3 linked regions of the Lonchura striata genome follow. The main gene of each other region encodes a partner of the protein of the gene in region 3 in a complex. Links are inferred from orthologs where the notes say so. Each region holds a gene or a part of one and is shown on either strand. Other genes may lie near its edges. The genes, in order: CDC45, GINS2 and GINS4.

Evidence for each region.
Region 1: GINS4 (region 3) and CDC45 share a complex: the UniProt entries of both Homo sapiens proteins name them as parts of the CMG helicase complex. The link is inferred for Lonchura striata from reciprocal best matches to the Homo sapiens genes GINS4 and CDC45.
Region 2: the proteins of GINS4 (region 3) and GINS2 are in contact, whole or in part, in a crystal structure (PDB 2E9X), measured with the Homo sapiens proteins. The link is inferred for Lonchura striata from reciprocal best matches to the Homo sapiens genes GINS4 and GINS2. Residues at the interface, in NP_115712.1 of Homo sapiens: Pro23, Ala24, Ile27, Glu28, Glu31, Trp34, Met35, Lys38, Phe39, Gln57, Met61, Leu73, Lys74, Ser76, Ile77, His78, Met80, Glu81, Arg84, Ile85, Tyr87, Val88, Ser91, Asp166, Asp168, Ser169, Tyr170, Val171, Phe172, Val184; in NP_057179.1 of Homo sapiens: Met1, Glu5, Phe8, Leu9, Glu11, Lys12, Phe21, Leu23, Asp24, Lys25, Ile26, Tyr27, Leu28, Ile29, Gly30, Trp47, Leu48, Asn51, Leu52, Arg55, Lys57, Phe135, Gln139, Glu140, Ala141, His142, Ala143, Lys144, Leu145, Asp146.

What each region holds. Positions count from the first base shown.
Region 1 is NC_134620.1:7,541,783-7,549,677, reverse strand, and holds the start of CDC45 (cell division control protein 45 homolog), read right to left. Parts: upstream 3,050-7,895; 5' UTR 2,987-3,049; coding exon 2,936-2,986; intron 1,734-2,935; coding exon 1,674-1,733; intron 1,377-1,673; coding exon 1,284-1,376; intron 867-1,283; coding exon 729-866; intron 145-728; coding exon 1-144. Other genes in the region: UFD1 (ubiquitin recognition factor in ER-associated degradation protein 1), read left to right, coding at 3,581-3,583, 3,722-3,854, 4,539-4,571, 4,963-5,084, 5,394-5,524, 5,920-5,992, 6,475-6,543, 7,064-7,129 and 2 more. UniProt on the Homo sapiens protein: Required for initiation of chromosomal DNA replication. Core component of CDC45-MCM-GINS (CMG) helicase, the molecular machine that unwinds template DNA during replication, and around which the replisome is built.
Region 2 is NC_134615.1:21,515,944-21,523,957, reverse strand, and holds the start of GINS2 (DNA replication complex GINS protein PSF2), read right to left. Parts: upstream 3,088-8,014; 5' UTR 2,861-3,087; coding exon 2,771-2,860; intron 2,079-2,770; coding exon 1,964-2,078; intron 1,335-1,963; coding exon 1,235-1,334; intron 221-1,234; coding exon 94-220; intron 1-93. UniProt on the Homo sapiens protein: Required for correct functioning of the GINS complex, a complex that plays an essential role in the initiation of DNA replication, and progression of DNA replication forks.
Region 3 is NC_134634.1:4,771,164-4,778,739, reverse strand, and holds GINS4 (DNA replication complex GINS protein SLD5), read right to left. Parts: upstream 2,925-7,576; 5' UTR 2,897-2,924; coding exon 2,771-2,896; intron 2,608-2,770; coding exon 2,521-2,607; intron 2,229-2,520; coding exon 2,115-2,228; intron 1,672-2,114; coding exon 1,574-1,671; intron 1,253-1,573; coding exon 1,164-1,252; intron 825-1,163; coding exon 734-824; intron 645-733; coding exon 548-644; downstream 1-547. Other genes in the region: GOLGA7 (golgin subfamily A member 7), read right to left, coding at 5,617-5,664, 6,700-6,801, 7,074-7,226. UniProt on the Homo sapiens protein: Required for correct functioning of the GINS complex, a complex that plays an essential role in the initiation of DNA replication, and progression of DNA replication forks.

The sequences.
Region 1 (7,895 bases), on a different chromosome or scaffold from region 3:
CTCTTCAAAACGTCTGCGCTTCTCATGGGGTTCTGAGCCATCACTTTCATTCTCTGAGTCCTCTTCCTCCTCCTCCTCATCTCTGAAGATGTCATCATAAGCAGGAATATCGAGATCATCATCTTGCTTGACTAACAGCTTAATCTAGCAAGGAGAAAACTGTATTTTAGAGTAAGTATCTTATTTAGTGAGCAAAATGCAATCTTACTTAGAAAAGAAACCAAAAATTCATTTAGGCTGTATTAATTCCTGGCATAACAAAACTTTGGTTTTTAATGCAACTCCCGTACTGATTTATAGAAAATAAGAGTAAAAATCTATATTCCATTATTAGAGCATTACTGAAAAAATTATCATTTTAATGCTTGTTAAAATAAAATAATTTATGCTTAATACTTAAAATTCTAGGTGCTGCCAGATGCTGAGAAATAATACACGTTACATTCTGGAGGGATGTTTATCCTCTGATTTATGGCAGTTTGATTTATAGCAACAACATTAACAGGTGCTTACTACTGACAACTACCACATTGCTAACTTTAGACATTTCACTAGTGGAAAAATGATTTTTTTTCTGGTCATGTACATTACTACTGCAAATATTTATTTATTAATGCTGCTTTCTGACCTACAAGCTAATTTCTAACCAGTTTTGCAAGCACAGAAAAGCACTACACTGCTCACCACCACACTGTGGGGAGGCTTTTATTATGGAAGCAAAGTTTTACCTGGGTGTCATTGTAAACATTCACTACATTGATCGGTCTGTGACTGTCACATACAAAAAAAAAAGTGTCTTCTTCAGGCTGCAAGATTTCCAGGAGGTCTACATTAGCACCACAATTAATAAGAACAAAGTATTTGAACTGCAAACAAAAGCAGAAAAAGAAAAGAAGCTCATTACTTAAATTGCCAGAAAACATGGAAAACTGAAAATATGCTTACAAAACCCACAGAGCACTCATCATTGCCAAAACTTCTGTTTATTTTCTAATATTTGATGCCTCTGAGGCAGATTTTTTTTTAAAGCAAAACACAAAAACCTGCACCTTTTTATCTCAAAATGTGTGCAAACTCCATTTGACTCTATCAACACTACAGCACATTTGTGATGTTAAAAACTTGACAAGTTTATTGTTGGTATGTTAAAATGTAACGAGCTTTAAGAAACCATAACAATAATAACAATAAGTTAAGGGTTGACATTCTAAATTGGGAAAGGAAAGCAGTTTATCTTTACAAAAGATGAGCTACAGCCCAAAAATTTTCCAGTATTTTTTCACCTGATCTTTATGCTCCAGAAAGGCAGTTTCAAGCTCTTGCCACCCAGCCACTGGCACGAGTGTGTATTGCACGTGGTCACACTGAAACAAAGCCTGCAAGGAAGCAACAGCTGTGAGCAGAGGGGAGGGGAAACAGCCTCTCTTACAATGCTACACCAGGCTGAGTCTATTCTATACAAACCCTTAAAATAAAACCACCCCAAATGACAAATCTATATGAGCTCTGAGATTATGACTCCCCAGTTTTCAGTGCCATAACTCATGGAAACCAATGTTACAAAAGCAGATTAAAGCTTCCCCCTCTCCTTAGTTCACACCCATGTATAGGATCCTAGGGCATACATATTTTCTCATACTGTCAGCTTGCAGTGATAATGAACCAAGACTTACTTGGAGTATTTTACAAGCACATAATGCATCAACATCTGAAGCAACAAGAAGAAGAACACGCTGTAAAAATAACAAAATAATAGTATGAATAGGTGCCAAATAGACCATGCTGGTACATGAAATCCATGGAACACTGAGACACCAGAAATTCAGATAGAAATCATCACAAGCATAAAACAAGATTGCTTCTGAATGGACCTGCAACCAAAATTTGGATATCTGTCAATATTAAAAACAAGCAACTCCACCTATACCCAAAATGTGTCAGCTCCTTTAGGGATAGGTAATTACTGTTTCCTCTGGACCTCACATACTTCCACAGTTTCACACCTAGTCAAGCCCTACAATTATTTTCATAGTGTTTAGAATGGCCTTCGTTTTCAGCAGATTTGCAACAGTTTTAACTAAAAAAATCTGTAGCAAAAGCAAGGCAACTAGGGAAATAAATTCATTTAAATCAAGGTTGGCTGGTATTTTTTTGGGGGCGGCAGGGAGAGGGTTGGTTGGTTGGTTTTTTGTTTGTTTTGTGAGAGTGTTGTTTTAGGTCTTCAGGGAAGAGTGTTTTGACGTTTTGCTCAGCTGGAGAAATTAAGACAAATGCTTTCATTTGCACAGTCCATAATATCATTTCCTTGGTAGAAATGTTAAAAGACTGTCCAATAAAAGCTTCACCACCTTACCACAGTGAAAGGAGTTAACCAAGCCCTGCAAAAATACAAGCAGCAAACAAATGTGCTACAAGATTGCAGGAAAAACATTAAAGATAACAGAAAACAGTATTTAGTGTCTGGGCAAATAACATCAAAATGGTTATAAAGATATTTTTTTAAATGGTTCAGCGATGTCATGGTTAAGCCTGAGATCCAGAGCACACAAGAACACTTTTGCGGAAGGAGGCGAACCCTGAGTGAAATCCCCGGCAAAACCTCATCACGCTGACGCTGCTTTGTCCAGGGTTCCCAAGGTAGGGAAGGGGAAAACACCCGGGAAAGGGATTTTAACCACCCGGCTGACAGCCGGACCCGCCGCCCTCAGCGCGGCCGCCCGGCCGGTGCTCCCCGCCACCGACCCCCGCTCTGCGGCCCCAGAGCGAGACCACCGCCGCCCCGGAGCACCGCAGCGCCTCAGTCACCGCGGGCACCGACCCTGCGCCGTGAGGCGGCCAGAACACAGAGCGGGGAGAGCCCCAGGGGAGGCGGCCCCGCCCGCCGCCGGGGCGCCCCGGGAGCCACTCCGGCCCGGTCCCGGCGCGCTGCCCGCACCTGGGTGGCGATCAGGTCGTAGAACTCGCGGCGGCAGTCGGAGACGAACATGGCGGGAACGGGAGCGCGGCGGGAACGGGCGGCAGCCGCGGGCCGCGCCGCTCAAACTGAGCGCCAAACCAGCGCCGCCTCTCATTGGTCCGCGCCTCACGCAGCGCTGGCCAATAGGAACGCGCCCACCCCGCCTCTGCAGAGCGAGATGCCAAGTCCTTTCCTGGGCCTCGCCAATGGAATGCGGAGAATGCGGTGACGATACTCGCTGCTGACCAATCCCAAGAGGGCCTTGGCCGGAAGCACCCTGGCCTGGTCTTGTCGCTGTGTCCGCCATCTTTTCTGAGGGCAAGTTGTAAGCTTTGCCATTAAAGGGAGCTCGGAGAAGGGGCAGCAGGGCCGCATCAACACCCAGTGACCGAAGAGAAGCCTAGCGAGCAGAAGAGACTCCTGACGATGATCGCGTCGGAGGGCGCGAGGGCCCATCTTCCGCCCTCACCCGCAATGGCCGCCCGAGTGGGCGGCGCCGCGCGGCACGCTGGGAGGGGCGGGGCCTGGGTGGGGCCCGGCACGGCCCGTGAGGGGAACGAGCGGCGCTGGCCCGGCCCGGCCCGGCCCGGCGGCCCCGAGGGAGCGCCCGCCGCCGCCGCCGCCATGGTGAGAGCGGGGGGCGGCCGGGAGGGGCCGCGTCACGGCGGCGACACTGCAGGAGCCCTCAGTGGGTGCTGTGTCGCTTTGTGTGCTCTAGATACTGATGATTGCGTTCTTCTCTGTGTGTTGTTTTTCCCCCTCTAGTTCTCTTTTAATATGTTTGACCACCCCATTCCCCGGGTGTTCCAGAACCGTTTTTCAACCCAGTACCGCTGCTTCTCGGTATCCATGCTTGCCGGACCTAATGACAGGTCAGATGTGGAGAAAGGCGGGAAGAGTATGTGCATGTTTTATTTTGACTAATAAACTGTTAGAAGAGTGTTTTTGAATAGTTTCAAGTCTTGCAGCTTTTGGCCAAGGCAGCAGGAATATTGAAAACACGGTGACAGAGTGCTGAGCACCCTGGGCTGGGTTTGAGGAAGGAGGAGGGGTCATGTGCCATGCATTACTCGGTAACTAAAAATGATTACCGACTCGGGGTTTATGAGTATCAGAAGGAACAGACTTCATCTACAAAATTTCTTCTTAAAATCTTGTATCTAGTGTGAGCCATGGAAGTTTATGATTGAGGAGTTTCTCCCCTGCACCATGTTGTGCTTTTTAATTTGTATAAAGAAAGTCACTTAGTTTTCAAGGTGTCAGACTAATGCTATGTTGTTTTGAGTTGGGAGCCCTAACGAATAAAATTAGCTTTGGGAAAGTAATTCTTTAATAATAATATTGTAAAACCTTGTCTTCTCTTTTGTTTTTTCCCTGATTGTAATTCTGAAATATCCACATTGCAGGGATATTTGTCATGACTCATTCTACTGAACTCTCTGTCTAAAAAATAAATTTGAAGATTGTAGAATCTGCCCTTTTTTTAAAAGAGATTTTAGAGAAAGGAAGGATAAAATTGTGTGTTATGTACTCTTATACAGATGTACTTTTCCTAATTTCACATTCTTATTCATTTCTGCAGTAATTATGCCACCATCAGCTTTGGATCAACTCAGTAAGTGAATGCATTATTCTGGAATAACAATATTAGAAATAGGAGCAAATGTGTAGGCAAATACCACAGTATTTTACTTATTTATTTAAGTCTTAAATCAGTACTGTGAGAATAATTAGTTTAAGAAATGTATTTTAAAGGTATTTTTTCTGTCAGAATTCATGGGGCTTTTCTGCCTTCAAGCACAGACATATGAAATATTGGCCTCCCTGAGCATTTAAAGTTCTGAGTGCCGTGCCAACACTGGAGTTGTACATCTGCTTTCTCTGGTATTTTGAGCAGTTGGGATATTGGTGCGAGGGGCCCATTCTCTTGGTGATTGATCTCTGAAAGCTTCAGAGCTTTCAGAGGGGCTTTTAACAAAGCAAACTTTTTTCTCCTTTCTTACTAGGCCGCCTTAATATTACTTACCCCATGCTGTTCAAGCTGACCAACAAGAACTCAGACAGAATGACTCACTGTGGAGTGCTTGAGTTTGTGGCTGACGAGGGCATCTGTTACCTTCCACACTGGGTGAGCTGCCTCATGCTGGACTGTCAGAACCTGAAAAGTAGGATTAGGGAGTTGCCAGGCTTAATATTAAGGATGTGAATGTTTCCTGACAGTGCCTGTCTCTGCTGGTTGTGTTCCTACAACAGCCTTCAGTTCTGGCTCAGGCTTCCTTCTGCAGAAGTTTAACTTAGCAAAGCAGACTGCTTTTAACGTTCACCTGACTGTTTTTCCTGAAATTGAATATACACAAGAGCTGATATACACAGGAGAGAGATTTGAAAATATCAGACACGTTGATAGGGCTGTGTGTGTTTGTCTCCATTCTTGCAGATGATGCAGAATTTGCTGCTGGAAGAAGGAGGCCTGGTGCAAGTGGAGAGTGTGAATCTGCAAGTTGCTACTTACTCAAAATTTCAGCCACAAAGTCCAGATTTTCTTGACATCACCAATCCCAAAGCTGTGTATCCTTCCTATTAAATTATGGAATAAAGGAGAAAAAATTTGCTTCCAAATTGGAATGATGAAACAGAGCGAGCTTGTCTTACGTGGCTCATACACTTCCAGTAGTACATGGCCACTGCTGCCCCTTCTGAAAACAAAAGGGATGCAGAGCTGATGTACAGAGATGTGGTCAACTGTTGGAACAAAGTGTGGTCTGAAGAAGGAGGAGTGTTGGCTTAAAATCTAATGAGTTTTGAGTCCCCCTTTGAAGAATTTATATATCCTAAAATCCTATATGCACTGATGGCTTTTAAACCATGTTTGAGAAACTAAGGATTAGTGATCTACAGTATGGTGATTTTAAGGCTTTGATATTTCACTGAAAATAAATATTTCATCTTAACATACTGCAAAGACTGGAAAATGCATTGAGGAACTTCGCCTGTCTAACTACTGGGGATGTGATTGCCATCAACTACAATGAAAAGGTACAGTGTAAGGTTGAGGGTTGTAGACTACTATTAGTGTTGGATGTTGGTATTAAAACAATCAACTCAGAGCTATGCAGTGTTTTGGACAAGTAATCCCACGTGGCAGATTTCACAGTTGGCTTTCTGTTGGAGGGAAAAAGGAGTCAGCTAAGTCTTTTTCTGAGCTGCTGTTTAAATTTCTTTGGACTCACAAGAAAATAAATGTTTGTGCTGTTGAAGTTTTCACAAGTGAAGGGAAAGAATTTATCCTAAATTCAGAATTTGTTTTCAAAAATGGAGGTTAAAGTACAGTAAGAGTGCAGCAAGGTGCAGTAATGGGTTCTCTGGCTTCTAAAAACTTTTGCTTTTAAATTCTGTAGAGACCCTGCAATATTTATTCTTATCAACCTAAAGAGTACTTACTTCAGGTCTGGAGGGGAAGGTTTAGATATGCTTTCCTTACACATAATGCAATCTTGAAATATCTATGACTGTTTCAGATCTATGAGCTTCGGGTAATGGAGACCAAACCAGATAAGGCTGTGTCCATCATAGAGTGTGATATGAATGTAAGTTAAAGCTGATGGGGAAGGCCTGCCTTAACTGTCCTCCCAAGAGGGGAAGGCAGTGATAGCTCTGCACACCCAGCCCAGCTGATGCTGCAAGAAAGGTGCAATCCATGGGGTGGGGAAGATGACTCACTTGGGAGTACTCATGTGCCTTTGTAACCCCTTCTGTGATCCCGATTAGTACTTCATGCACCATCAGGTGACTACCATGCCTAGAATTTAATGTTTAACTTTGGCATGTTTTATCTGAGTTTTATTTAATAGCCTTGTCTTGACTCACACTCCAGTGATATTGTGGAGCTGTTTTACTGCTTTGTTTCCATTACATGCTAAGGTTAATTCCTAGTAGGCTTGGTCTTTTTTTAGTTCTGAGTTAAAATGTTTAACAACCAAACCTTAGTTCTTTTTAGCTCAAACGCAGTGGTAATAGTTCATGAAGTTTTGAGGAATAGTAGTATAAAGCTTATGATTTAATGAAAAATATTAATAATGGGTTTTTTCATGCTTCTTGTGTAAATAGGTGGATTTTGATGCTCCTTTGGGATACAAAGAACCAGAAAGAAGTGCACAACATGAAGAGACCGCAGTATGTTAAACTTTTGTTCTTCCAAAATGCATCCCCTAGAAGTCACTGTTGACTGTGGGGGAAGTGCCAACATAATTTTTTTTTTTTTATTTAAACAAGTTCTGTAGAGTAAATTTTACTTGCCAGAAGCCTTTGCATGTGTTACTTAGGGGACTGGTGTTTACCAACTGTTGTTTTAAGAAAGTGTCTTGGTTTGACAAGTGATTGTTCTGAAGTTTTGTTTGGCCAGAAATACTTGGAACAGTTTTCATGGCATGTGCATGTCAGAACACAAACAACATGAACTTGTTTTTCCCCTCACAGGATGTGGAAGCAGACCACAGTGGGTATGTGAGCGATATAGGATTTCGTGTAAGTGCCCTGTTTCTGCTGGTTTCTGAATCCTGTAAAATGGTGAGGGAAAGTTGTTCTGAACAACTGCAAAATATCAGTACCTGTTCTTATAGATGCTTGTTATTTAACTGGTAAGTGCCTGTGAATGTTTTGTGTCATCACAGCCAGGAGCAGCATGAATTGTTCTCTGCAAAGGGCAGATGAGAGGTTGAAACAGACTCCTACACCCATGATTCATCAGCTTATATGTACCAAAAAGAATCATGCTGAGTTAAATAACTAAATAAAAATTGCTGTAAGATTTTACAGATATAATGTCCTTGTGAAGTGTGCTTTCAAATGCCAGGAGTTCAATTAAAACTGATTATGTATCCACAGGCATTCTCTGGATCTGGGAACAGATTGGATGGCAAGAAGAAAGGTGTGGAGCCCA
Region 2 (8,014 bases), on a different chromosome or scaffold from region 3:
ACCCACGGCCCAGGCCAAGCCAGCCTTTTCCAGGCAGCCCATCCCTCATCCCCCAGCTCCCTGGCTCCCTCCCGGGCCGAGCTCCTGGCACACCTTGGCATGAGCCTCCTGCTGCCTCACGAAGCTGTCGGCGGACAGGCGCAGCTTGGCCACGCGTGTGTCCCACGTGTCCTTCACCAGCGTCCGGATCTCGTCCGCTCTGGGGATGTTGTCAGAGGCACTGGCACGGGGAAAGGGAAGGGAAAGGGTTCAGAGCAGGTGGCAGAGCCCAGCACATCCCTCCAGACCCTGGCAGGGGGCTCAGAGACCTTGGCACGAGGTCAAAAAACACCCCTGGCTTCGATTTTAGCCCGTGGAAAAAGCTGCGAACTCCACACGAGGAATTGCAAACCACAAGGGTCTGAGTGGTGTGATAGTTGAACTAACAAAGGGTGGAAAAGTAGAATTTTGGGCTTTTTAGAATGGGGTTCTGTGGCAAGCACATTTCTCTCCCTCTCAGAGCTGGAGTGCCCACCCTGCCAGGAGCCTCAAAAATCCAGAGCTGGAGTGCTCACCCTGCCAGGAGCCTCAAAAATCCAGAGCTGGAGTGCCCACCCTGCCAGGAGCCTCAAAAATCCAGAACTGGAGTGCCCACCCTGCCAGGAGCCTCAAAAATCCAGAACTGGAGTGCCCACCCTGCCAGGAGCCTCAAAAATCCAGAACTGGAGTGCCCACCCTGCCAGGAGCCTCAAAAATCCAGAACTGGAGTACCCACCCTGCTTAATCAAGGGCTTAAGAAGCCAGCAGAGCCCTGGCTGAGACAAACAGCAGCCAGCACGTTTTACAAGTGAGATGCCTGAGCAGGCAGGAGCTCAGGCTGGGAATCTCCCTGGCCTCCTGCTCCCCAGGCTGAGGGGAGAGGAGCTTTCCTCCTGAAGGAGAGCCAGGGAAGGAGGCTGGAGCCTGCAGATTGCAGCCCGGAATGTGCTGCGGCTCCTCCACACCGAGCTGTGCTCCCTAAAACTGCACAGCCCCGACAAGGAGGCCACGCAAGGAGCCACCCCAAGCTCCTGAGAGGCAGAGTTACCATCAGGGAAGTGCTGCTGAGAAATCTTGGCAAGGCTGAGGGATGAAACTCCCTCGACTCTCCCTTTTCCCCACCGCCCTGCGGGGCTGCTGCCAAGCAAAGCTTGAAAAATCCTCAGTGCTCGCAACCAAGTGGGGTGGAAAACGGCCCAGCTCAGCTCCTACTCACTAGTTCAGCAGCAGCTTGGTCAGCTCCATGTAGTAGGGACTGGGCATGGGAGTGAAGGTGTCCTCTTTCCTCTCCTGATCCCGGATTTCCTCCAGTTTCCCTAAAATGCAACCAGGGATGCTCGGATTTTGTGTGGTTTTTTCCCCCTCTCCCCAGGAAAAAGCCACGTTGTTTCTGTAGGATCAGCTCGGGAGGCACACAAGGGACATGGATGCCTCCAAGGATCCATCCATCCATCCAACCAAAATCCCTATCTCCTCACAGGGATTTTCCCAAGAATTAGTGCCAGGATGAGAGGAAACAGCCTCAGATTTAGCCAGGGGAGGTTCAGGTTGGACATCAGAAGGAATTCCTGGACTGAAAGGGTGGTTAAACACTGCAAGGGGCTGCCCAGGGAGCTTTGGAGTCCCATCCCTGGAGGTGGCACTCAGTGCACTGGGCTGGTGACAAGATGGGGACAAGCTGGACTTGGTGAGGTTGGAGATCTTTTCCAACCTAAAAAATTCTGAGATTCTGTGACCCAAAGTCCCTAAAGCTTCTTCTGAACAAGCCTCACCCCCCTGAGAGTAAAGAAAATCCCAGTGGTGGGACATGAGATCCATCTCTCCCAGCTGCCTTGTGCTTTTCAATTAAGCTCCCCACTAATGGTGAAAAACGGATTATTTTTAATTTCATGCTTCCACTGCACCCACTGAAGGCCAGAGCTGAAGGCAGAGCCTCCATCCTCACCAACATCCATCCATTCCGGGGGAATGAGCCGACACTTCTGCCTCTGCTTCAGATTAATGGCCAGCCACACGGGCACTTCCACTGGCAAGCCAGGGTTGAAGGGACCCAGATCTCCCTGGAAAACAAATTAAGGATGAGAGGCGGGCTCCAACCAGAGCTTGGACTGCACAGAGCCTGCCTGCTAATGTGGCCAGAGTTTCCAGAGGATTTGGAAAAGCCTGGGACAAACATCTGATCCTGCATTTCCTCCTCCCACTTCCCTGAATTCTTGCTCTCAGAAGCTCCCCCATCTCCCTGGAGAAGGAATAACCAAAGTTTCCTTTCATTCCAAGGGGTTTCACAGGAATTACAAATTCCACCTCCCTGGACATGCAGCTCCCAGAGGCTCCCCAGGTTCTGGCCAGCGCCCAGGACAGCCGGACACCCCCACCAGGGCTCGGGGGCTGCACAGACCCCCCGAGATGTGGGGGGACAGCACAGCCCCCTCCCCAACCTCCTGGGGGCTGCCCTGCCTCTCCTCCCAACCCCGTCCCCCCTCTGCCCGTCATTCCCCAATCCCTCCATCCCAAATCCATCCCAAATCCGTCTCCTCCCCAGCTTCCCAAACATCCCAGACCCACCCTAACCCCCCCAGCTCCCGCACCCCAATCCCAATCCCTCCAACCCCATTCCCCAGACCCAATCCCTGCCCCCAAGGCCCTCCCAGCCCCGGTCCCGTCCCAGCCCCGGTCCCTGCCCAGCCCCGGTCCCGTCCCAGTCCCGGTCCCCTCCCAGTCCCGGTCCCCTCCCAGCCCCGGCCCTGCCGACCCCGATCAGGTGAATCCGGTCCAGGCTGAAGTTGGGCACGATCGTCACCAGCTCCTTCTCGGCCAGGAACTCCACCTCGGCCGGCTCCATGGGCCCGGGGGGAGCCGAACCGGGATCAAACCGGGATCGCACCGGGACCGGACCGGGATCAAACCGGAACAGGACCGGGATGGAACCGGGATCGCACCGGAATGGAACCGGAATCCAGCCGGGATCAAACCGGGACCGGACCGGGATTGCACCGGGACCGGACCAAGATCGTACCGGGAGCGCACCGGGAGCGGACCGGGACCGGACCGGGATCGTACCCGGACCGCACCGGGAGCGCACCGGGAGCAGACCGGAACCGGACCGGGATCGTACCCGGAGCGCACCGGGAGCGGACCGGGACTGGACGGGGATCGTACCGGGATCGTACCGGGACGGAACCGGGCCCGCACCGGGCCCGAGCCGGGCCGCCCTCTCCCGCCCTCGCTCCCCATTGGCCGCCCAGCCCCAGGCCCCGCCCCCCGTTCCCCTTTCCCGCCTCCCGTCTCATTTTCGCGGTTTTCGGGGAAAGGCGGGGCCCGGCGCGGCGCGGCGCGCGCTGATTGGCTGTGTTGCCGTGGCGCACGCCTCTGTGATTGGCTGCTCTGCGCGCGGCGCGCTCTGGCCGCTGCCCCGCCGGGGGAAGTCCGGATGGGGGCACGGGGACCAATCGCGGCGCTCCCCGCGGGCGCTCGGCCAATCAGCGCGCGGCACTTGTTGCCGGGGCGCCGCGGGAGTGGCGGCGCCCGCGACTGCCGCCCCCTGGCGGCCGAGAGCGGCAGCGCCCCGCGGGAACGCGCGCGACCGCCGGGCCGGGATGGGTGAAAGGGACCGGGATGGGTGACAGGGACCGGAATGGGTGACAGGGACCGGGATGGGTGAAAGGGACCGGGATGGGTGACAGGGACCGGCATGGGTGACAGGGACCGGGATGGGTGAAAGGGACCGGGATGGGTGAAAGGGACCGGGATGGTTGACAGGGACCGGAATGGGTGACAGGGACCGGGATGGGTGAAAGGGACCGGGATGGGTGACAGGGACCGGCATGGGTGACAGGGACCGGGATGGGTGACAGGGACCGGAATGGGTGACAGGGACCGGGATGGGTGAAAGGGACCGGGATGGGTGACAGGGACCGGCATGGGTGACAGGGACTGGGCGTGGCTGTCCCTGGGTGGTGCTCAGGCCCCAGCATCTGCCCATCTGTCTGTCTGTTCAGTGGCCCCTGTTCAGACACCCATGCTCCGGCACCTGCCATCACTCACCTGTCCCTTTTCTCTGTTCCCCATCCATCCATCCATCCATCCATCCATCCATCCATCCATCCATCCATCCATCATCCATCCATCCATCATCCATCCATCCACCCATCATCCATCCATCTATCCATCATCCATCCATCCATCCATCCATCCATCCATCCATCCATCATCCATCCATCCATCCATCCGTCCATCCATCCATCCATCCATCCATCCATCCATCCATCCATCTATCCATCATCCGTCCATCCATCCATCCATCCATCCATCCATCCATCATCCATCCATCCATCATCCATCTATTCATCCATCTATCCATCCATCCATCCATCCATCCATCCATCCATCCATCCATCCTCCTCCCCACACCCAGCTCATCCCAGTGATTTCTGGATGATTTGGGGGGAGCTGTATCCCATTTGCAAGTCCCCATGGAACTTCCCCACACCAGACAAATCCACTTCACCCCAGTCCCTCTCCCAAACCACCTTGGGCTCAACCCTGGGATCACCCGTGGAGCAACCACCACCCTTGGGATGAGCGTTACCCCCACCCTGGGGTGGGAGCCAAGCCTTGGGGACCCCCAATCCCCGAGGAGGGTCCCCAAAGCAGCCCCCGGTGCCGCCGGCACGTGCTGGGCGCTCCGGGAACGTCTCCCCCACGCTGCACCTCCCCTGGCGTGTCTTTTGCCATCTGCTGCTGTCATTAAAAAATGAAATTTCCATCTGCTTTCACACTCCCGCCTCTCCCGCCGGCTCCGGTGCCGCCGCTCCCCGGGAAGCGTCGCCCCCGGCTCCCTCCCGGGATGCGGCCGATCCGGCGGGATGGGGGTGACGACGCCGAGTTCATTATCCCGCTGCTGTTTGCTGCAGTGGATCCTTCAATCCCTCGTGGAAAGCTGTGGAGCCCCACTTTTGCCCGCCCACGGGCACGGGGGTGACCCCGTGGGGGCGATGCTGCCGTGTTTCGGGGTGCACAACCCATCCCCCGTGTGCTGCCACAGCCGAACTGGGGGTGCGGGTTTTTATTCGCCGTGGGGGGAATAGCAAAAGGGACAAACCCCGGTCCCTGCTGTCCAAACCCACCCGCGTGGGTGCCCCGCGTGTCCCTGGCAGCTTCGTCCGGCCCGGCCGTGGCCTGGGGGCTCCATCCCGAGGAGAGGGGACAGCTCCTGCCGGGCTGGGGGTCCCCCCGTGTCCCCTCTCAGCACGGGCTGCAGGGCGAGGGGCTCTCCCCGCGCCGGCCCTCGCGGGACAGCGTGGTCCCCGTGGGCGTGGGAGGCGTGACGATGATGGAGGGCACGTGCAGGTGCTTCTGTCCCGCTGGGGTCCCCTCGCTGCCGTTCCCGCTGCTCACGCACATCTTCAAGCCTGGGGAAATTTGGGGGATAAAAGAAAGATCAGGCATCGGGTTCAGCATCCCCCCGGCTCCCTGCCCTCCTCGGTGTCAGCGCTTTACGAGCCACTGGAGAATCCACAGCATCCTCACATCTCCTCCCCTGCGTCCACCTTGGATTTTGGCGGGGTTTCAGAGGTGGATCCCACCCCTCCCTCGACCACCAGCCCAGCCCACCCGCCCTGAGGGGAGCAGATCGCTTTAATCTGCTTTTTTAATCAGGAGAAAAGCCCCGTGCGGCACAGGCTGCATCCAGGGAGGTTTCAGCTCTTCCCAAGCAAGAAAATGCCTGGAGGGGACAGACACTGATATTTTTAATCTCTTTTTAATTAAGGATAAAGCCCTGCCTTATGTAAGGGAGCTGGAAAAGGGGGAGGGTCTTTTCTTTTATTCCAGACTCCAAGCTCACCAGAGGGGTCTGGAAGCATGGGGGAATATTTTGGGGCTCTGTCCTGGATTTGGGGCAGGATTGGGATTCCTTGGCTGCTTGCTTCCCCTCTTCAACTCCCCCTTGTTGGACAGGGGGGGTTGTGAGACCCCAAATCCCCCCAGCCTCCCTGTTGTGGAGAGGGGGCAGAGCTCATTTTTGGCTGATGCATCCAGCTCTATGCCCATCACAGCCAGAATCCCAGAGAGTCTGGGCTTGGGAAAAGCCAGGGAAGAGGCGGCCCTGCATCCTGGAGAGGGATCCTCATTAAGCCCCATCCCTAACGACCCCGAGGATGATTAGCAGGAGTCAGAGGGATGCAGAGCTAATGGGAGATGCCATATCCAGCCTTCGCCCTGCCAGGCCAGCAGCACTAAAAGCTCCCACTTTGCCCCTGCGCAGACATCCCTGACGCCATTCCCGGCCTAAATCCATTAAGAAAATTCAAGTTGGGGAAGAAGCTCCTGGTTGGAGCATCCCTGGGGAGGGTGGAGCAGTGAGGGATGATTTGGGGCCAGCCTGGAGGCCGGGAGCTGGAACCCAAGCTCTGGGCTGACCCCTGCATGCCAGCCACGTGTCCCTGAGCAGCCCTTTCCTGCCTCCAAGGAAACCCCTGGATTCTCCAGATCAAAAGGTGCAGGGAAAATAAAGCAGGGAAAATAAAGCAGGGAAAAAATAAAGCAGGGAAAAAATAAAGCAGGGAAAATCCTCTTTGGGGCCATCCAGGCGCAACAGGTCGCCCGTGAGACGTCAGAAATTCCACCACACCAATTCCCACCCACACCAAAATCTCCTCTGGGAGCCACCATCCCCCAGGTGTCTCTGGGGAGCAGCAGCAGCCCGAAGGCCCATCCCAAACTGACCTTTCAGGCAGGAGAACTTGAGCCCCATGTTTTCATCCTCTCAGCGGGACGCGGCTCTCCAGCTCCGCCGCCGGCCCTGGCCGCTGGCGCTGGGGAGGAGAGGAGAGGCCTGAGGGGAGCGGTGCTGGGGGGGAGGAAGGAGAGGAGCCCAGAGCTCACATCTCTCCCTGCGAGCCTCCAGAGCCACAGGAAACGCGGCTGCTCGCTCGCAAAACCACCGGTGATGTCACGGCGCCTCAGCGACTCAACCTGGGCCCGCGAGCTCCAGGAAGAACTTTTTGGGAGGGTGGAGAAGGAACCTGCTGCTGGGTGAGCGGTCCCATCCCAGCTTCTCCGCTCCTGGGGTTTGGGCTGAAGATATTTCAGGATGAGGAGATTGGGAGCAGGAGGAACTGGGACGGGTTCTTGCAGAGAAAACCCCGAGTCCACGCACAGGAAACCGAGGGATGATCCCAGGGCTGCCTCCCTCGGGCTGAGCCGGAGCAGCTGCCGGGATGCACTGCTGGAATTCACATCACCCCGCTCCTCTTGGGCACCCCTGATGTCCCCAGAGTGTTTAGATGGATAATTCCCACTGTGGGACATCAGTTTTTTTCCAAGATGCTGACAATTTTTCTGCGGAAAAGCACCCCTTTATTGGGAAATCTTCACCCCTCCTCCCACAGCTGCTGGGAAAAGCTTCTTGGGATGAGGGTCAGTGACTCATTTGGCTCTTCCAAGCTCTGGGCCACACAGAGAGCCAAGGAAAGCCCCTGCTCCCCTGCCTGACCTCTGCCTTCACAGGAAGCCCTGAGGTGGGTCAGCAGCAGGCAGCAAGGGGAAGTGAAAATTTGCTATCTCTGCTTTTAATTCTGCATTTTTATCAGTTCCCCAGGTGCAGCCTGAGCTGTGACCCCCCCTCAGGGCTGGGGAGTGGAGTCCTGCCCAGGACCTCACTTTGCAGCTCTCCTGGAGGCTGCCCAAATGTCAGGAAATCTGTTTTGAGGCAAATCTGGTGGGTTTTGGCACCTGCTGGTGGCTCGCACACCAGCAGAGGAGGGTCATGCTGGGGACAGCCAGCTCTGTGCACAGGGGGTGTCCTCTGGGATTTGATCCTTTGGGATCTGATCCTCTGGGGTCTGATCCTCTGGGATTTGATCCTTTGGGATCTGATCCTGTGGGATTTGATCCTTTGGGATCTGATCATCTGGGATCTGATCCTCTGGGCTTTGATCCTCTGGGGTCTGATTCTCTGGGATCTGATCCTTTGGGATGTGATCCTCTGGGATCT
Region 3 (7,576 bases):
AGCAGTGGCTTCTGCAGAAGGGAGTCTGACAGTGTCTATTCTCAAAAATGCAACCTGAAGCTGCACCAGAACCCATCACCCTCTGCATGGAGGGTATTCAGATGACACACAGCAGAAACTACTTTTTCCTGAGCCAAGACCACAGTTGTTCCATTTTAGTGATGCCACCGGCCACTGCTCTTAAACAAAGCATCCCAGAAGCTACACACTGAAGCTTTCCCGACACTGCCCTGTGACACAGCCTGCTCTCACACAGGAATGCCAGAGGAAGGACTCTATGGCTGTATGCTGGCCATGTCACAAGCAATCAGGAACTGGATGAGCTGTGGGGGTAATGAATGCCTCTGCAGTACAACACTGTGGTGCTCACCTGCAGTGCCACTGTGCTCTGCCTGCCATGGCAGTGGGGCCCTGGCCCTAGGAGGGGACCCAGCCCCAGAGGGGATCTGGCCCAGTCAGCCCCACTGGGAGCTCCTGCCAGCCCACTGTGGGGTGGGCAGGGAGATGGCGTGGTAGCTGCTCCTCCCACCACACACTTACCTCTCCCCTAGATGAGCTGCACGGCTCCTGAGGCCACCAGAGGGGCCACGGTCCTGTAGCGGATCAGGTGCTGCGAGCCCTCCTCCAGGTTGATGGCATATTCCCTGCAGAGACAGGGGGAACGTGAGCTGCAGCACACGCCCATCAGTGACACTGACTGACACCTGTGCCATGTGCAGAAATGCCCACCTACCTCTGCTCATCAGTCTCTGGCTCCACTAGTATGTTCTCCTGCCGCTCCAGCACCCTCAGAAACACAAAGGAGTCCAGGTTGGGCTTTGGAACTGCAGACAACAGATTGAGAGCACATGCTCAGCCCCCACTTATGTTCCTCTGCAGAACACTGAGGGGTCTGACATGTAACAAACTTATAGCCAGCAAAGGGAACACCAGACTCTTCTAACCAGATGTGTGTGCTCAGCCTCAGTGCAAGACAGGACTTGACAGCAGGGGCCAGCACAATCCCCTGGCAGAAGCATGGAACCATGTTACAACATCACCTTTGCTTCAACTGAGCAGCAAGCAGAGGACTAGCCCTCACATTTGGGGCTCCCTGGAGCTTCCCCCACACTCCTGCCTGGTTCTACAATTTCCAGATTACCCTGGAGTCTGGAGAGACTCACCTGACTTTAGGAGAGACACTTTCTGCAGGTTAGGTGGCATGTGCTTTAGGGCCACATTTTTCAGGTAAGCCTCTGTGTTTGCCATATACCTGAAACAAACCATTGAAGTATTGAGTTGGTTAATCAAATACAAATCTGCAGGGAGAGTATTGACTCAAAACAAGAATGACAGCTCCTCATCCCATGGGCACAGCCAAAGACAGGCCCCTGACAGACCCTGGTAACTGACTCAAAGTTACCAGAGTTATTTTCAGTTCCTTTCTTGCCCACAAAGAAATCTCCTGGTAAGACACACTGATTCTTACTTCAAACCTATCCAAGGCTCACAGTCTCAAGAACGTCATCAAAACACAAAAGTAAGTTTCTATAATCTATAAAAGGGGAGGAAGATACATTGAAAACCTACTCACTCTTTAGCAAAAGCAAACTCCTCTGGTGATAAAATGGAAGGCTCCCCTTCAGCTCGAGACTTCTCCTTCTCCAGGATGTGGGGAAAAAACTTCTCTATCTAATATTGAAACACAATCCAAAAGAATGATACAGATCTCTCCCACGAGTTCAGTGTTTAAAGCCCCGCTCTCCACTGTAGGAGCAGCAGCAGGCCTGCCCAAATCCCTGCTCCTGAGGTAACTGGGACATCACATGGGATCACCAAGCTATACAACCATGTGTGCACACAGCAGGACTCGGGCAGAATGGGACAGCATTCAGCTGTGCCACCCCAGGCTTAGATGAACCAAGCAGCACTCACAATATTGTGATCAACACTGCTGTGACCTCCTTCATTACAATACGAAAGTGTGCCCAAGAAATTAATATGAGTTGCATTTCAGAGAACAGAGAGAGAACATGCTTTAATTAAATGCTGTGCTGAGGCAGGAAGCCCCGTGTAGGCAAAAAACCCTCTTGAAATTACCTTTTTTACCCTCTGGGCTGCGCAATAAGCATTACCTTCACCAGTCGACACCGCAGGTAGCTGCTGAGCACGTAACGTATCCTCTCGATCTCCATGTGATGAACACTGACCTTCAGGTCTCCTCTCTTCACCCGTTTCAGGTTTGCTTCCTACAAGAAAAAGCAACGAGAAATTATATAGTTGAAACGTCAAACAAGACAAAAGAGAGGAAGCCACGTTTTGTATATAGAACCCACAAAACCAGACTATGGCTGCTTTTGATAACCCAAAACATGCTGCCTCCTCGTACTTTAGCCCTTTGCAAGGCAAGCTCAAAGAAGAAACTCGGAGAAGATCTGCCTCGGAGCCAGGGAAGCCCGGCACTCTCAAAGAGAGTCAGGCATGTTCGTGCCAAGCCAGGCAACCAGGGCCTGCCCGCACCACCCGAGCCCCAGAACCCACCATATGGTCCAGCTGCTCCACCACGCACTCGATGATTTCAGGTTTACTCTCCAGCAGTTCTGGAGCAAACTTCTCATTCAGCCAGGCCTGAAAGAAGGCACGCTGTCAGTGAAAGCGAGCAAAACCTCAGCTGCACTCCCGCAGCGAGAGGAGCAAACACGGCCACGGCCCCGCCGCTCGGCATCTGCTCCAGCGCGCCCGGCAACCCCCGCTTTCCCCCGGCCCGAGCCCGTCGCGCTAGCCCGGGGACCTGCTCCAGGCTGTGGATCAGCTGTGCCGGGGTCAGCACCAGCTCCTCACTGTCGCCGTCCGAGTCGCCGCCGGCCGCTGCCGCCATCGCTCCCGCCATCGCTCCGCCGGTCCGCCCACGGCGCATGCGCGCCGCCCGGGCCCACGCATGGGGAATCACGCTGCGGCCGCCGCGCCTCCGGCCAATCGGGAGGCGGATTGAAACAGCAATCTTCTTTGGCCAATCAAGATGCAGATTGAATGTGCTGCTTCTGCGGCCAACCACGAGGCGGAAGCGGAGCTTTTTCGACCAATCACGATGCGTCTCCTGGCTTCGAGCTTTTTCGACCAATCAGGAAGCGGATGCAGCTTTTTTGGAAGTCAGGCTTTAGATCAGGCTGGAGGGGCTTCCACCAATCAGAGAGCAGCGTCAAGCTGCAACTTCTGGGCCAATGAATAGCCGGAGAGACGTTTCAGCTGTTCCAGCCAATTAGCGCTCAGCTGCAGCCATTCCAGCCGATCAGAGATCAGCTACAACTGTTCCAGCCAATCAGGCCTCAGGGGGTTTGGCAGCCCCGGCCCCAAAGCCCGGGCCCCGGCGGCTACCGGCCCGCCTGCGGGTGGAGCCCCGGGCCCGGACACGGCCCTGGCGGCCACTGCCCCGGTTGCGGGCGGAGCCCCGGGCCCGGACACGGCCCCAGCGGCCACTGCCCCGGTTGCGGGCGGAGCCCCGGGCCCGGACACGGCCCATCCCCGCAGCGCTGCAGCTCTGGCCGCTCCCAGCCCCGCGCTCCGCCACACTGTGCCCCTCGCCACTGAACACACCTGGACACAGTTTAAGAAAAGGTTTACTGATCCATCAGTACTTCTGCCAATATTGCAACAGCTGTGAAAGGCAAACACTGTTACAGTTTAGAAAAAACAAATTTATACAATGAAAATATTCATCAAATCTCAACTCCCCAGTGGCTGAGGAATGAGCCTGGAGTTCCATATCCAGTATTAGCACCTGCAGCACCACCAACAACCAACCCAGCCCCACCACTCCTGCTAAGTGTCTCTTCTGAACTCCTGAGTTCCTTCCACAACTGGACACTGACACTCGGCCCTACACCAAGACACCTGGGCTTTGACACAGGAAAAGGATGTGAGAGAAAGGATTCAGCTTGGACTGTGCAGGTACTGCTGAGCAATGCACGGGGACGCTAAGGAATGCACAGCTCAACTCCTCAATGTGTGCCAGAGACAGAATTAAGAAATCCATCTTACACAGTATCTTACAGTTCATCAAATCAATGTTTTCCTATAAACTATATATAAGGAATCCATCAAGAAACAGTTTTACACTTCACATATTAATCAGAGAAGGGTGGGAATCATTATTTTTATTGGCTCAGCATCCACTTTACTGTGCTTGCTGTTTCATCACTGACCAGGCCCCTCTTGGTGAGCACTGATGGGGCCAACACCACCACAGACACAGGGGCAGAAAAACCACCAGGGCTAAAGTCTGGCTACAACCCCCTCCCCCCAGGGATAACCAAGACCTTAACTCAAGGAGCACTCTGCCTTTTGGTTTTCCACAAGGATCAGCACAAGAGACGTTGCCTTGAGTCACTCCTCACTGGGAAGAGGCACTGTGTATCTCTGCACTCCTACACTGAACTGGAGGGAAATTCCTAATTTTGAGCTGGAGCTTTCCAAAGCCCAACTGATACATAGAAGGGTTTAAGAACCAGGGATGAACAGCACTGTACTTACAGGACTAAAACTAAACCTCTGTTGGGCTGAGAGCCCATTTCTTTCAGAAGAGAACACAGCTTTACCACTCTGCCTTTTCTTGAGAAAAAAAAAAAAAAAACAAAAAACTAAAAAGTGATCCTGTTGCTTCCAAATCTACTGCAAAGTGGATGCTGACCAGCTAGGTCACCCCCTGGGGAGCAGTTTGAGGAAGTTAGTCCTTGTAGTAGATGGCACTGTGGATCTGGCAGCAGAGAAAGGAATGATGCTCTAAAGTAGGAGGTAGGGGAACCTTGGTACAGCAAGTCCACCGATGAGCTGTCATCTAGAAAAGAAGTTTCATAGGGTTAGAAACTCCTAACTCAAACCAAAAGCTACCCTACACAAACCTTTCTACAGGTGCAGCAAGAATGTGGCAAGAGTTACCATGTGTTGTGGTGAGCAGAATCCAGAACTCATTTCATTTGTCCAAACAAAAAATAAAGACCTTTACTATTTGTTTCTTTTTGCAAAACAGGCATAAATGTTTCCCATTCTTTTCTGTATATACTGCTAACAATCTGAATGTAACACTCCCATCCCAATACCTGCAGAGCACCCAGCACAAGGGAACCAGTGCCAATGCCAGCTGTCCAAAAGCAAAGTCACAGAAAGCAATTTTCGTGGTCTGCACTGGATATTTGTGACTCGCCCCACAGCACCAAGAGAACTGAGAGCTCTCAGCAGAGCTTTTCAAGGCTGCTGGGCCCTCCTACCGCAAAGCATCACAAGTAAAGACATCAGCATGGTAACCAGAACAGCAGCCAGCTAAAAAACTGCAGCAAAAAGGCTCTGTATGCTAAAGTACACTCAGGGACAGAGTCCATTTTTTACTGACCCGAGAAGAATTTTGGACATAATACAGTACAAGTTAGCATATTTACACAATCAAGACTCCAATTTCTTCAACCCAGTACTGATATTTTTACTTCTAAGAAGAGCTGGTCCACACAGGCTTTATGTGAACAGTCTTTGATAACTACAAGGGTGGGATAAACTCCCAGCATGACAGCACCCAATCCTCTGAGCACAAAAAGATGTTGAGATTGATCTGAGATACAGGTAACATGTACCTAAAACTCCACAGTTTTATCTTCCACTGGTCAAACCTCTGTCTTCATAAATGGTAATTTCAATCTGCACAGAAAAGCTGTTAAGGAAATACACTATAAAGAGACTATGAAAACATACCCGGAAAAAGGCAGAAAAACATTAAGATGATGGGACTTTGATATCTGAGCTGTTTAAAGGCAGGTCCCAGAGCTCCAAAGCAAAAGGAACAGCCTATGTGAGATGCCTCATCAGGTAAGAGCACGGGCTCCCAGCCCAGGGCCTGCGCAGGAACTCATGGGGAAGGCTGTGCGCCGAGCAAAAAAAGTTAATACTGCTAATAAGTCACCTACCAAACTGAAAATGCTTTTACTCAAATTGAATGTTGGTTGTTTTTTTTTTCTTTCCAGAAGGTGTATACACAATGGAAAAACACACTGAGAAAAAAGAAGTCATGTAGGTGACAGCTCTGAGCTACATGGACAAGGACACAGAAAACCCAACTTCAACGAATTAGCCTCATCATACATTCAATTGGCATTGGGTTTCAAGTTACTGTGGTTTCAAGATTTTCAAAGAAAGCTGTGTTACTCATTATACTTCCCCATTTGCTATGAGAGGTCTTTACAACTTCAGGCAATAACCACACAAAATGTCTTCAGTGTGGCTCAACGGCTGAAGAAAAAGGGTTGAAATAAGCCATACTGGAAGCAAGAGCAAGTGCCAGGCTTGCAGTGATGTTGTATGTCAAGATCTTCACCAAAACCTCAGCTGAGGGTTGCACATTAAGTAAATTGATGTTATCACATCCATTTCTGTCCTACCAACATGGTCACTTCTTTCCCCAGTCAGAAAAACAGCATTTCTGGACATTACTGGAATAGAGGCAGGATCCTGAGCGCTCTTTCCAGGCAGGCACAAAGGTTGGGTTCCACATCTTTATGGGCTTTGCACGCACCAAACCTTAACATACTAAAACCTGACTAGGGACCAGGACACAACAAAAAGCAACAAGATTAATCACCCATTCTGTATCACAGATCGAGCATGAGCAGAGGTGCCTCACTGAGACAAACGAGGAGCACAAGGCAGGAGACAATGTCAGAAACCAGAGAAGGATACAACTCTTAATCCTCTTTCAATGGGGTCTGTCAGCAGAAGGCCCTGAGGAGCATAGATCTTCTCATTCTGTTCCTGAATGAACTTAGCAATTTTCTTTAGAACCTGGCAATGAAACAGCACAGAAGTCACAACTGTTTCCTTTCAAACAGTATCACAGCTACGGCAAGGTGAGAACTGACACACAACTGCTCTGATGGCTCGACAGTGCAGGCACTTGCCTGGATTCAGGGTGCCCCCCATGGGACCCAAAGTGACCAGTACCAGCACGCCTGAGTTACATCCATACAGCATCTGCACCAGAACATTGCAAGTCACAGGAAACCCACCAGGACCCAAGTTCTTGCCTGCAGGATGAAAGGGAAACAAGCATTTACCTTTTCATAGTGTGTCTCCATGCACAGGAAGATGGTGTAGGCAGTCAGGCAGGCGAGACAGCCTTCCAGGTAAGATTGGCCCCCAAGTTTTTCAGCTTCTGCATAGAGGTTGTTCAGTGTCCGGACTGTCTCCTCAAACTGCTGCCTGTCAATCTGCAAGAAAAGCAAGTGGGGCTGTCAGGTGCACACTGCAGAACTCACCAGTAGCCTTGTACATCCACCTCCACTCAGGGATCATCTGCACTGCACTCAGAGCCGCAGCCTGGAGCACGCAGAGTTACACACCTGCAGCTCTTTGTCAGACACCTTCCTGTGCTCAGGCTGAGTCCGAGTCAAACACAACGTGGACACAAAACCATTCAGAGCAACACTCCTAAGCTAATGTGCAATTCAGCTGTGAAACAACCGGAATTCACACCCAGGGATGTGATGGGTTAAAATGAACAGGCGAGCGTGGAGGGACACTCCACACCCTCAGTGCCTCGGTGCTGCTGCAGTGCTGA